2 linked regions of the Rattus norvegicus genome follow. The protein of the gene in region 1 interacts with the protein of each later gene in a pairwise test. Links are inferred from orthologs where the notes say so. Each region holds a gene or a part of one and is shown on either strand. Other genes may lie near its edges. The genes, in order: Kcna3 and Cav1.

Region 1 (4,000 bases):
GAGCAAAAGATGCCATGACAACCTTTTTCGGGTTTCCCAGGAAACACGGGTTGCTATGGGAACTGCATCAGTCAGGTCCGAATTAGTAACTTCCGCTGGAAGGGGTGTCTGCCACTTTAATCTTCCTGTGATACTGCAGAAGCTTATCTCTCAGATGCATCAGGAATTTCTGTTGTTTCTCCTGGCAGCACTGAAAATGAGTTTCTAGACTTTCGTAGATATTGACTTGGGCATGAACTCACAACTTCATTGGAATCTGTGTCTAATGTTTTCAAAATGCTTTGCAAACTCCGAAGAGTTAATAGTCAGATCAGGACATTTGGGGCATTTCCCTTTTGGTTCAAAGTTATTGTGAACCTGAAATTCTTAGAGGGGAGATTCATACTGAAAGGCCAGTCCAAAAAAAAAATTATAGAGGGTTTACACGTCAACACTCTAGTTAGACTTTCCACCCACACATCCAGAGGTTAAGTAGTTACACTTAGTCAGGAAATAATGCTGAAAAGTCCACCGAACAGGAGCATCATTTAAGTTCTGCCTCCTTTACTTAGTAAAGAAACAACTATCTTTTGATTTTTGAGGTCACACAGTTACTCTGACTCTATAGTTTCATTTCCTCTCAGGATGTAGCTTTAGGGCTTGCACAAGAAACCAAGCTTAATGTAAGTTTGTTGTTCACAAAATTAAGAAACAGGGAGAGAGAGAGGGAGAGAGAAAAAGAGCTGAGAGAATGCAGCCCACTTGCAAAACCAGGCACCTGTTTCAGTATGAAGCAATAGGGAGAGGGAGAATGAAGTGTGCTTTTCCACTTCTTCATGTACTTTCCTTGATGAATGGTCTGGAAATGTATAAATCAAGGGCATACACAGACCAAGGGGGCATGTTCCACACAATACTGGGCACAGAATGGCAATCGTATCATCTATTAGACATCAGTGAATATCTTTTTGATGTTGACACAGGAGTTGGGATTATTGTTGGTGGTGCAAGTGGCAGTGGAGTTGCCCGTTTTGAAGGGGGTCTGGGGGAAGGCGCTGTGGTTCATACCCCCCTCTTCGATCACCATATACTCCGACTTACTCAGAGTGGAGTTACTCCGGGCTTTTCGGAGCTCCTCTGCTGAAGAGGAGAGGTGCTGGCAGCTTCCCACGTGCATGTACTGGGCTTGCTCTTCCCCTTCTGTCTCCCGGTGGTAGAAGTAATTGAAGTTGGAAACAATCACAGGAACCGGCAATGCAATGGTCAAGACACCTGCGATGGCACAAAGAGAGCCCACAATCTTGCCTCCTATGGTCACTGGGTGCATATCACCATAACCGACAGTTGTCATGGTTACCACGGCCCACCAGAAGGCATCCGGGATACTGTTAAAACCCGAAGAAGGGTCGTCTGCCTCAGCAAAGTAGACTGCACTGGAGAAAAGGATGACCCCAATGAAAAGGAAGAAAATGAGCAGCCCCAGCTCTCGCATGGAAGCCTTCAGTGTCTGTCCCAGGATCTGCAGCCCCTTAGAATGGCGGGAGAGCTTGAAGATGCGGAAGACCCTTACTAGGCGGATGACCCTCAGGATGGCCAGTGACATAGCCTGCTGCCCATTACCCTGTCGCTCAGCCAGCTCAGTGCCCAGAGTAATAAAATAAGGGATGATGGCTACAATGTCTATCAGGTTCATGATATTTCTGGAGAAGGTGGCTTTACTGGGGCAAGCAAAGAATCGCACCAGCAGCTCAAAGGAGAACCAGATGATGCACAGGGTCTCCACTACGAAGAAGGGGTCCGAGAAGCTGGAGGCTCCAGAGGAGGCCCCCGACGTGCTGTTGTTGGCAGCCTCAAACACGTCCTGCGACGGAGAGGCGGGATAGTCCTTCTCGTCGCGAAACTCGGGTAGTGTCTCCAAGCAGAAGATGACAATGGAGATGAGAATGACCAGCACTGACACGATGGCAATGCCCCGGGCCGGCCCGGAGCTCTCGGGGTATTCGAAGAGCAGCCACACCTGGCGCTGGAAGTCACGGCGGGGCAGAGGTCGCTCCTCCTCCCGCAGGAAGCCCTCGTCCTCACGGAACTTCTCCATAGCCTCCTCACCCAGTTGGTAGAAGCGGATCTCCTCGGAGAAGATGTCGATGGGCACGTTGACCGGCCGGCGGATGCGGCCCCCGGACTGGTAGTAGTAGAGGATGGCGTCGAAGCTGGGTCTGTTGCGGTCGAAGAAGTACTCATTGCGGAGCGGGTCGAAGTATCGCATGCGCCGCTTGGGGTCGCCTAGCAGCGTCTCAGGGAACTGGCAGAGGGTCTTGAGCTGTGTCTCGAAGCGCAGCCCGGAGATGTTGATGACCACGCGCTCCCCGCAGCAATCCTGCTCGCCCGCGGCGGGCAGCGCGGGCGGCAGCGGTTCGTAGCGGTCGCAGCCGCCGCCACTGACACAGCCTCCCTGAGGCGGGTCCCCGCCGCCGCCTCCCGCCGCTTCTGGCTCCAGCAGGTGGTCCCCGGGCACCACGGTCATGTCTGGCGGCAGCTCGGCGTAGCCTGGGCTCTGCAGGATGCGCGCGCCGCCGCCCGCGGGGTCCAGCGCAGGGTGGGCGCGGTGGCGGGCGGAGGGCTGCGGCGGCCGAGCGCGGGAGGCGGCGATGCTCTCCTTCCCTGCTGGCGGTGGCCAGCTCCGAGTCGCTCCTCCTGGAGCTCCCCGCCCCACCACCGCCTCTGCCCCACGAGCCCGGCCCCGCCGCCTGTTGCTGCGGCTGCCGCGAGGCTCTGTCAGGGCTGGCGCGGCCCGCCCGGCTGCACCGTCCAGACGCCTCCTCCTCCCTCCTCCGCACCCCTCCCCGCGAGGCGCGCGCCCGCCTCTCTGCCGCCGCCCCCGGGTTTCCCGCCCACTGCGCGCGCGCGCTCCGCTTTCCGCTTGCCACCCCTGTTCCTCGCCCTTCTTTTGTCACTGGGTCGCCTTCGACTTGCACCCCACTACCCAGACCCCGCGGAACCCCTACCCTGCCAGACTGGCCTTGGAGGAACCCGGCCGCCCGACCACGTTCCTGGGCTCTACTTGCTCGCCCCTGGTCAGCGCGCGTTCCCTTCCTGCGCGTGGTCGAGTCCTAATCTCAGGGCTATTAGAACCGCGCAAGGACCACACCTCAGCACTCGAAGGCCCTCCTGGTCCTTAACACTCTTTAATACTTTGTCTGGGCAGCAGGAAGGGCAAGTTCCACCAGAATAGGTAACAAAAGTCCTAAGCACGAGGGCCAGGGCTGGCTGAGCCTCCTGACCCTGAGTGTCTTGGGAGGAGGGGCTGCAAGCTAGGTTGTCTGTGCTAGTTCAGGATACTCTGGGCCCAGCATCCTGGGGTAGAAGAATGCTAGAACCTGGGTGTTGATGCTGTAAGGAAGCAGAACTGAGTTAATGGGTAACGTAGGGTCTAAAGTCTTCCCAGTAGCTTAAAAAGAGGGTCCTTAAAGGCATTCAGAGATCTCACTTTTATAATGCTAGCTCAGTGTGGGCAAGCATTATAAAATCAGGGCCAAGTTTCTGGTCAGGACAGTGGGAAAAATAAGGGGGGGGGGTGGTAACGAAAATTCACCACACCTTACTGTGTGATAAACAGGCCTGATACCTAGAGTTTACTTAATACCATGACACCTGTGTGGTAGGGAGCTTGAGGTGTGCTTTAGCTGATAATGTGGAAAAAGCCTTCATTTTGCAGATGGTGCCTCTCTTGCTTGATTTGGGCCTACAGAAAAACATTTACACCCCCTCCCCCAACTGTTTCTTCAAAGTGTACTGGTTGCTTTAAACATAATTTCTGTTCCCAAACATTTTAGCTACCCCAAGTATAAGTACCAGAGTTACAAAATTCTGTTGTTTTTCCCTTGAATCATTACTGTTGATTGCGAAAGAGGAACTATTGTCTAGACGTACACCACTCATTCTCCGAAGTGAGCTGAAAATTCAATTTGATGCAAGAGTGATTTGTTGTCATTCCTACCACCTCCCCCAACCACCAAACTCT
Region 2 (4,316 bases), on another chromosome or scaffold:
TTCCTAACTAAAATCCATCCTTTTATTTCTAACACTGTACTGCTAACCACCCTCATTTGATCAGTATGACATACGCAAGTGTTGAAGTAGCACACTGCACCCCACTAACATTACGCTAATATCACATGCTAATAAAACAATAATTAAATTACTTACAAATAATATTTATAATTTATAATTCCTCATACATTGATAATTAATTAATTAGCAATTAATTCAAAGGATAGATTGTCTCTTTTCCCTCTAAGCAGGACCCAGATGATGAGTTCTTTTATCTATTTTCAGGCCCCAGGTTTTGTCTTCAAGACCCCATGCTCCTGCTTCTTGGTGGCCATTTTAAAATGTACTCTCTGTCCCATTCAGAGTACTACGGAAGTATTTGCATAGGAACGCTTAGGTAAAACATCCCTTTCATCCTTATTGGGGGTGGTGAGCTGCTGAGTTGCTGTCTCTAATTAGTAAAACGCAACCATGATTTATATTATTCCTCTTTACAATAAAACAAAAGGAGGTTGGTCAGCTTTTGAAACTGATATTTAGTTGTTAACATAAAAAAATTTTGTCAGACAACAACAACAACAACAACATATTCTCTCACAGCCAAGCACATATTCCTGGGCCAGTATCCTCTGCGGCAGAGGATGTAGTTCAGTGACAGAGTGTTTATCTCTAGGTAAAATGCACAAAGCCCTGGGTTTGATCTCAAGCCAAGGAGGGAAAAATCCTCTCTGGTAACAAGCTTGAACCTCCAAGTAAAATTTTCTGCAGTTGAAAACATTCAAAGTGCTTTATGATTACGGTATAACCTGTTGGTAGGAACTTCATTTTCTTTATTGCAGAGGCGCCCACACAGATTCCTTCGCTGTGTTTATATAAAAAATGTTCCCTCAGGTTCCCAGCCATCTCTTCTCTATCTTTCTCTGTGAAACAAGAAGAGAGATCAGTCCTAGTGGGTAATGGAACGTGGGCGAAGCGGGAAGGGAAGCGGCTTAGGATAGGGCAGAATTCTTTCCGTGGAGCCGGATGCCCATACTGGGCATCTCAGCAAACTCTTGTGCTCCCTCCACCCCTGCTGAGATGATGCACTGGGAAAACACGCGCTCTCCCCTGGATGCCTCTCTGTTGGTTTATAGCTGGGAAAACGTTGCCGCGGGTCTAAAATATCTGCCCAAACAGACAGCCTAGCTCTGATGAAGGCTTTCTCACAGGCTCTCAGCTCCCCGCGGGCGCTCCCCGCCCTCCGCTGCCAGAACCTTGGGGATGTGCCTAGACCCGGCGCAGAGCACGTCCCAGCCAACTGAGAGCAGAACAAACCCCTGGCCAACAGCCAAGAGGCTCCCTCTCAGCCACCGCCCCCCGCCAGCGCCTTTCCCCCTCTATACAATACAAGATCTTCCTTCCTCAGTTCTCTTAAATCACAGCCCAGGGAAACCTCCTCAGAGCCTGCAGCCAGCCACGCGCCAGCATGTCTGGGGGTAAATACGTAGACTCCGAGGTAGGCTTGGGTGAGGGCGCGCCGGCTCCAAAGTGCCTGCTTTTGCTATCTCGCACTCCAAATGCTCGGGCTGCTTTCCTAGCCCCAGCCCTCTCTCCACCTTCACAGCACTCGAGCTGGTACCGCGGAGGAATGGGCTGGGTGGGGAGGTGAAAAGCTAGGAATGCCTTAGGGCTTCCTTTTGGAGAGGGGACCAAAGGAGCCAACGGAGAAAAGAAGAACCCCCGGGTACTGTTTTATGAGTCTGAGTCTGCCAGACTTAGAGAAGTTTTCCAGATGACACTGTTCGCGAGACCCCCCTGCGGCGGTCCAGCCCCTACCTACTAAGAGGCTTAGAGCTGGTGGGGTGTGTGTGTGTGTGTGTGTGTGTGTGTGTGTGTGTGTGTGTGTGTGTGTGTGTGTTCGGGTAAAGGAGATTCATTTGCCCGCAGTCCTGAGGACAGCCCCCCGCAGGAGCCTAAAGTGGCTGGCATGGGCGGCGCCGTGCGTGTATAGCACTTAGCGAAGTTCTCGAGAACTTCAATAATTCTGCCCCTGAGAGGCCCGGAGGAGGTCCGAGGTGGGGGAGCCTCTTTCCTCACGAGTACCACCGCCATTGTCAACTACTTCTTGGTACTCTGGTGGACTGAATGTGGCGACCTGGGTTCCCCAATATGACTACGGTTCAGCCTGGAGTAGACAGCCTGGGGGTGATCTAAGTAAGGGTGGGTGAGGGAGTCCTTCAGGTGACATTTCGTTCTGGGGCATGGGGGCGGGGTGAGGGGTCTTGGTACATGCCTCTGTTTAAAGAAGTGTGTTAGATTGTGACCCACTTATTCACCCCCACGGCCTAAGGAACACCGTGGAGCACGGGGTGGAGTGGGGAGGTAAAAAGGGTAGGGGCTGCAGCAGGTGCAAGGGAGAAGCACTGAGGGACAGAGAAGATAGGATCATTAAGTCTGTCAGCAGGGTCCAGAGGGATCTTGATAATGTTGGAAGGGATCGTAGGACGGGGTTAACGGTTCAGAGAGGGACAGAGGAGCAGGTGAGGTTGAGGGACACGGGTGGCCTGGTGGAGAGAAGGAATACAGAGGAGGCGGAAAGCGAATCCCAACCCCTGGCCTAGGGAGCTACAGTCGGGAGTCGCGAGGAGTAGGAGGGCGCATGGGGCTTCGCCCTGACCCCTGGCGGCGGCGCGGGAGGCAGGCGCTCCCCGCCTGGTACCGAGGGGTGTGGTGTCCTCCGCTCCGTCCTCTTAAAAAGCTTGCAGCGTTGGAGTTTTCTGTGTGCAAAGCCTTTCTCCTGGGAGGTTGAAGCTAGCAAAAGTTGGAGCTCCAGGCTCCCCCCACCAACAGCCAGGCTGACTCTTGACTCTTGTTTTTCTTTCTGAACTCTTCTTCCCACCGCTGTTGCCGCCCTCCCCTGGCTTGGCCGGTTGCCCTCACAGGGACATCTCTACACTGTTCCCATCCGGGAACAGGGCAACATCTACAAGCCCAACAACAAGGCCATGGCAGACGAGGTGAATGAGAAGCAAGTGTACGACGCGCACACCAAGGAGATTGATCTGGTCAACCGCGACCCCAAGCATCTCAACGACGACGTGGTCAAGGTAAACACTGGTTGCTGTTTGCGTCCCTCAATGTAGTCTCCTAAGCTTTGGCAGACTGGCACTGTCTTTTGAGCTTAGCAGTGTGTGAGCCCCTGCGGGTCCAGTGTCAGAAATGTCGCATCTGCCAGCCTCCTCCTGCTGGCTAGTTCAGTAGGAATTTAGCCAGTTGTTGTGGGGGGGTGGGGAGTCCATAGACCCCCAGCCCCACACATGCACATTATTTCGGAACGGACGATGATTATGGTCCATTGGAAGGTTAAAGTCCAGTTACAGGTCTTTTATTTGTGGGTGAAACAATTGTGTGAGACTTTAGGTGAATATTAGGACGCAGAATGAGCATATCCCTTCAGCTAAATAATCTAAATGATTAGCCTAAAAATAGTAAATGAGTGGAAATGCTTCCAACCGTTAACATATGCAGATATATGTACAACTTTTGTATGCAGTGTGTGTGTGTGTGTGTGTGTGTGTGTGTGTTTAACTCTAAAAACATAGCACACGTGCATGGGCAAGCCAATTTACCAAACTGAAAATCATTTCCACCTCTTGACTTCTGGATCCCTCTAGTTAAATGTGTGCATCTGTGGTGAAAGCCAAGGTCAGCCTGCCCTGGGCTAAGAGAACACAGGCTGGTGTTCCATTTTACATTTTCAAGATGTACTTGCTGGGATTTAAAATACATTACTTTCCTGAGATGTTGACCCATGTAGACCTGACACAGTGGTCTGACTTTCATTATCAGTTCGTTATTCAACTTTGACCCTTTCAACAATTCTGGCTCAAGGAATTTCTTGTCTGAATCCGACTGGGTTGAGAAATCCTGGACTTGAGCTGTCCTTGGCAGAGGGTTTCCTCTGAGTGGCCTGGAGGGCCAAGGAAAATCCTAGCTTCGGGGGTTCCAGTGGGAAGGTGCTGTCCTGCCCAGCCCCTAATTCACCACTGAGGAGTGATGCGGCTTCCACCCACAGTCTCCTATCTAAGGATGGGAGGAGCTCCAATAGAGTTTCACCTTCATGAATAATATATTTCAGAAAGAGAAATAGTTTTCATCTACAACTGCAGGGAAAGTGTACCTGTCAAAATTGACTCTCTTGCTTTTCTGGGAGAGGGAAAGGAAAATTGGACCATTTTCTCCTGGCCACATTGTGGAATATTTAAACCCAGCAATGAAAAGGCACCTCATAAATTGGAAGTTAAGATTGCTAAAAAATCCGTTTATTAGCCACACTT

What was found.
Region 2: the proteins of Kcna3 (region 1) and Cav1 come close enough for resonance energy transfer, tested with the Homo sapiens proteins (2 studies listed by BioGRID). The link is inferred for Rattus norvegicus from reciprocal best matches to the Homo sapiens genes KCNA3 and CAV1.

Annotation. Positions count from the first base shown.
Region 1 is NC_086020.1:197,319,081-197,323,080, reverse strand, and holds Kcna3 (potassium voltage-gated channel subfamily A member 3), read right to left. Parts: upstream 2,758-4,000; 5' UTR 2,504-2,757; coding exon 926-2,503; 3' UTR 804-925; downstream 1-803.
Region 2 is NC_086022.1:46,605,228-46,609,543, forward strand, and holds the start of Cav1 (caveolin-1), read left to right. Parts: upstream 1-1,310; 5' UTR 1,311-1,465; coding exon 1,466-1,495; intron 1,496-2,040; exon of another isoform or gene 2,041-2,193; intron 2,194-2,744; exon of another isoform or gene 2,745-2,921; coding exon 2,922-3,086; intron 3,087-4,316. UniProt on the Homo sapiens protein: May act as a scaffolding protein within caveolar membranes. Forms a stable heterooligomeric complex with CAV2 that targets to lipid rafts and drives caveolae formation. Mediates the recruitment of CAVIN proteins (CAVIN1/2/3/4) to the caveolae.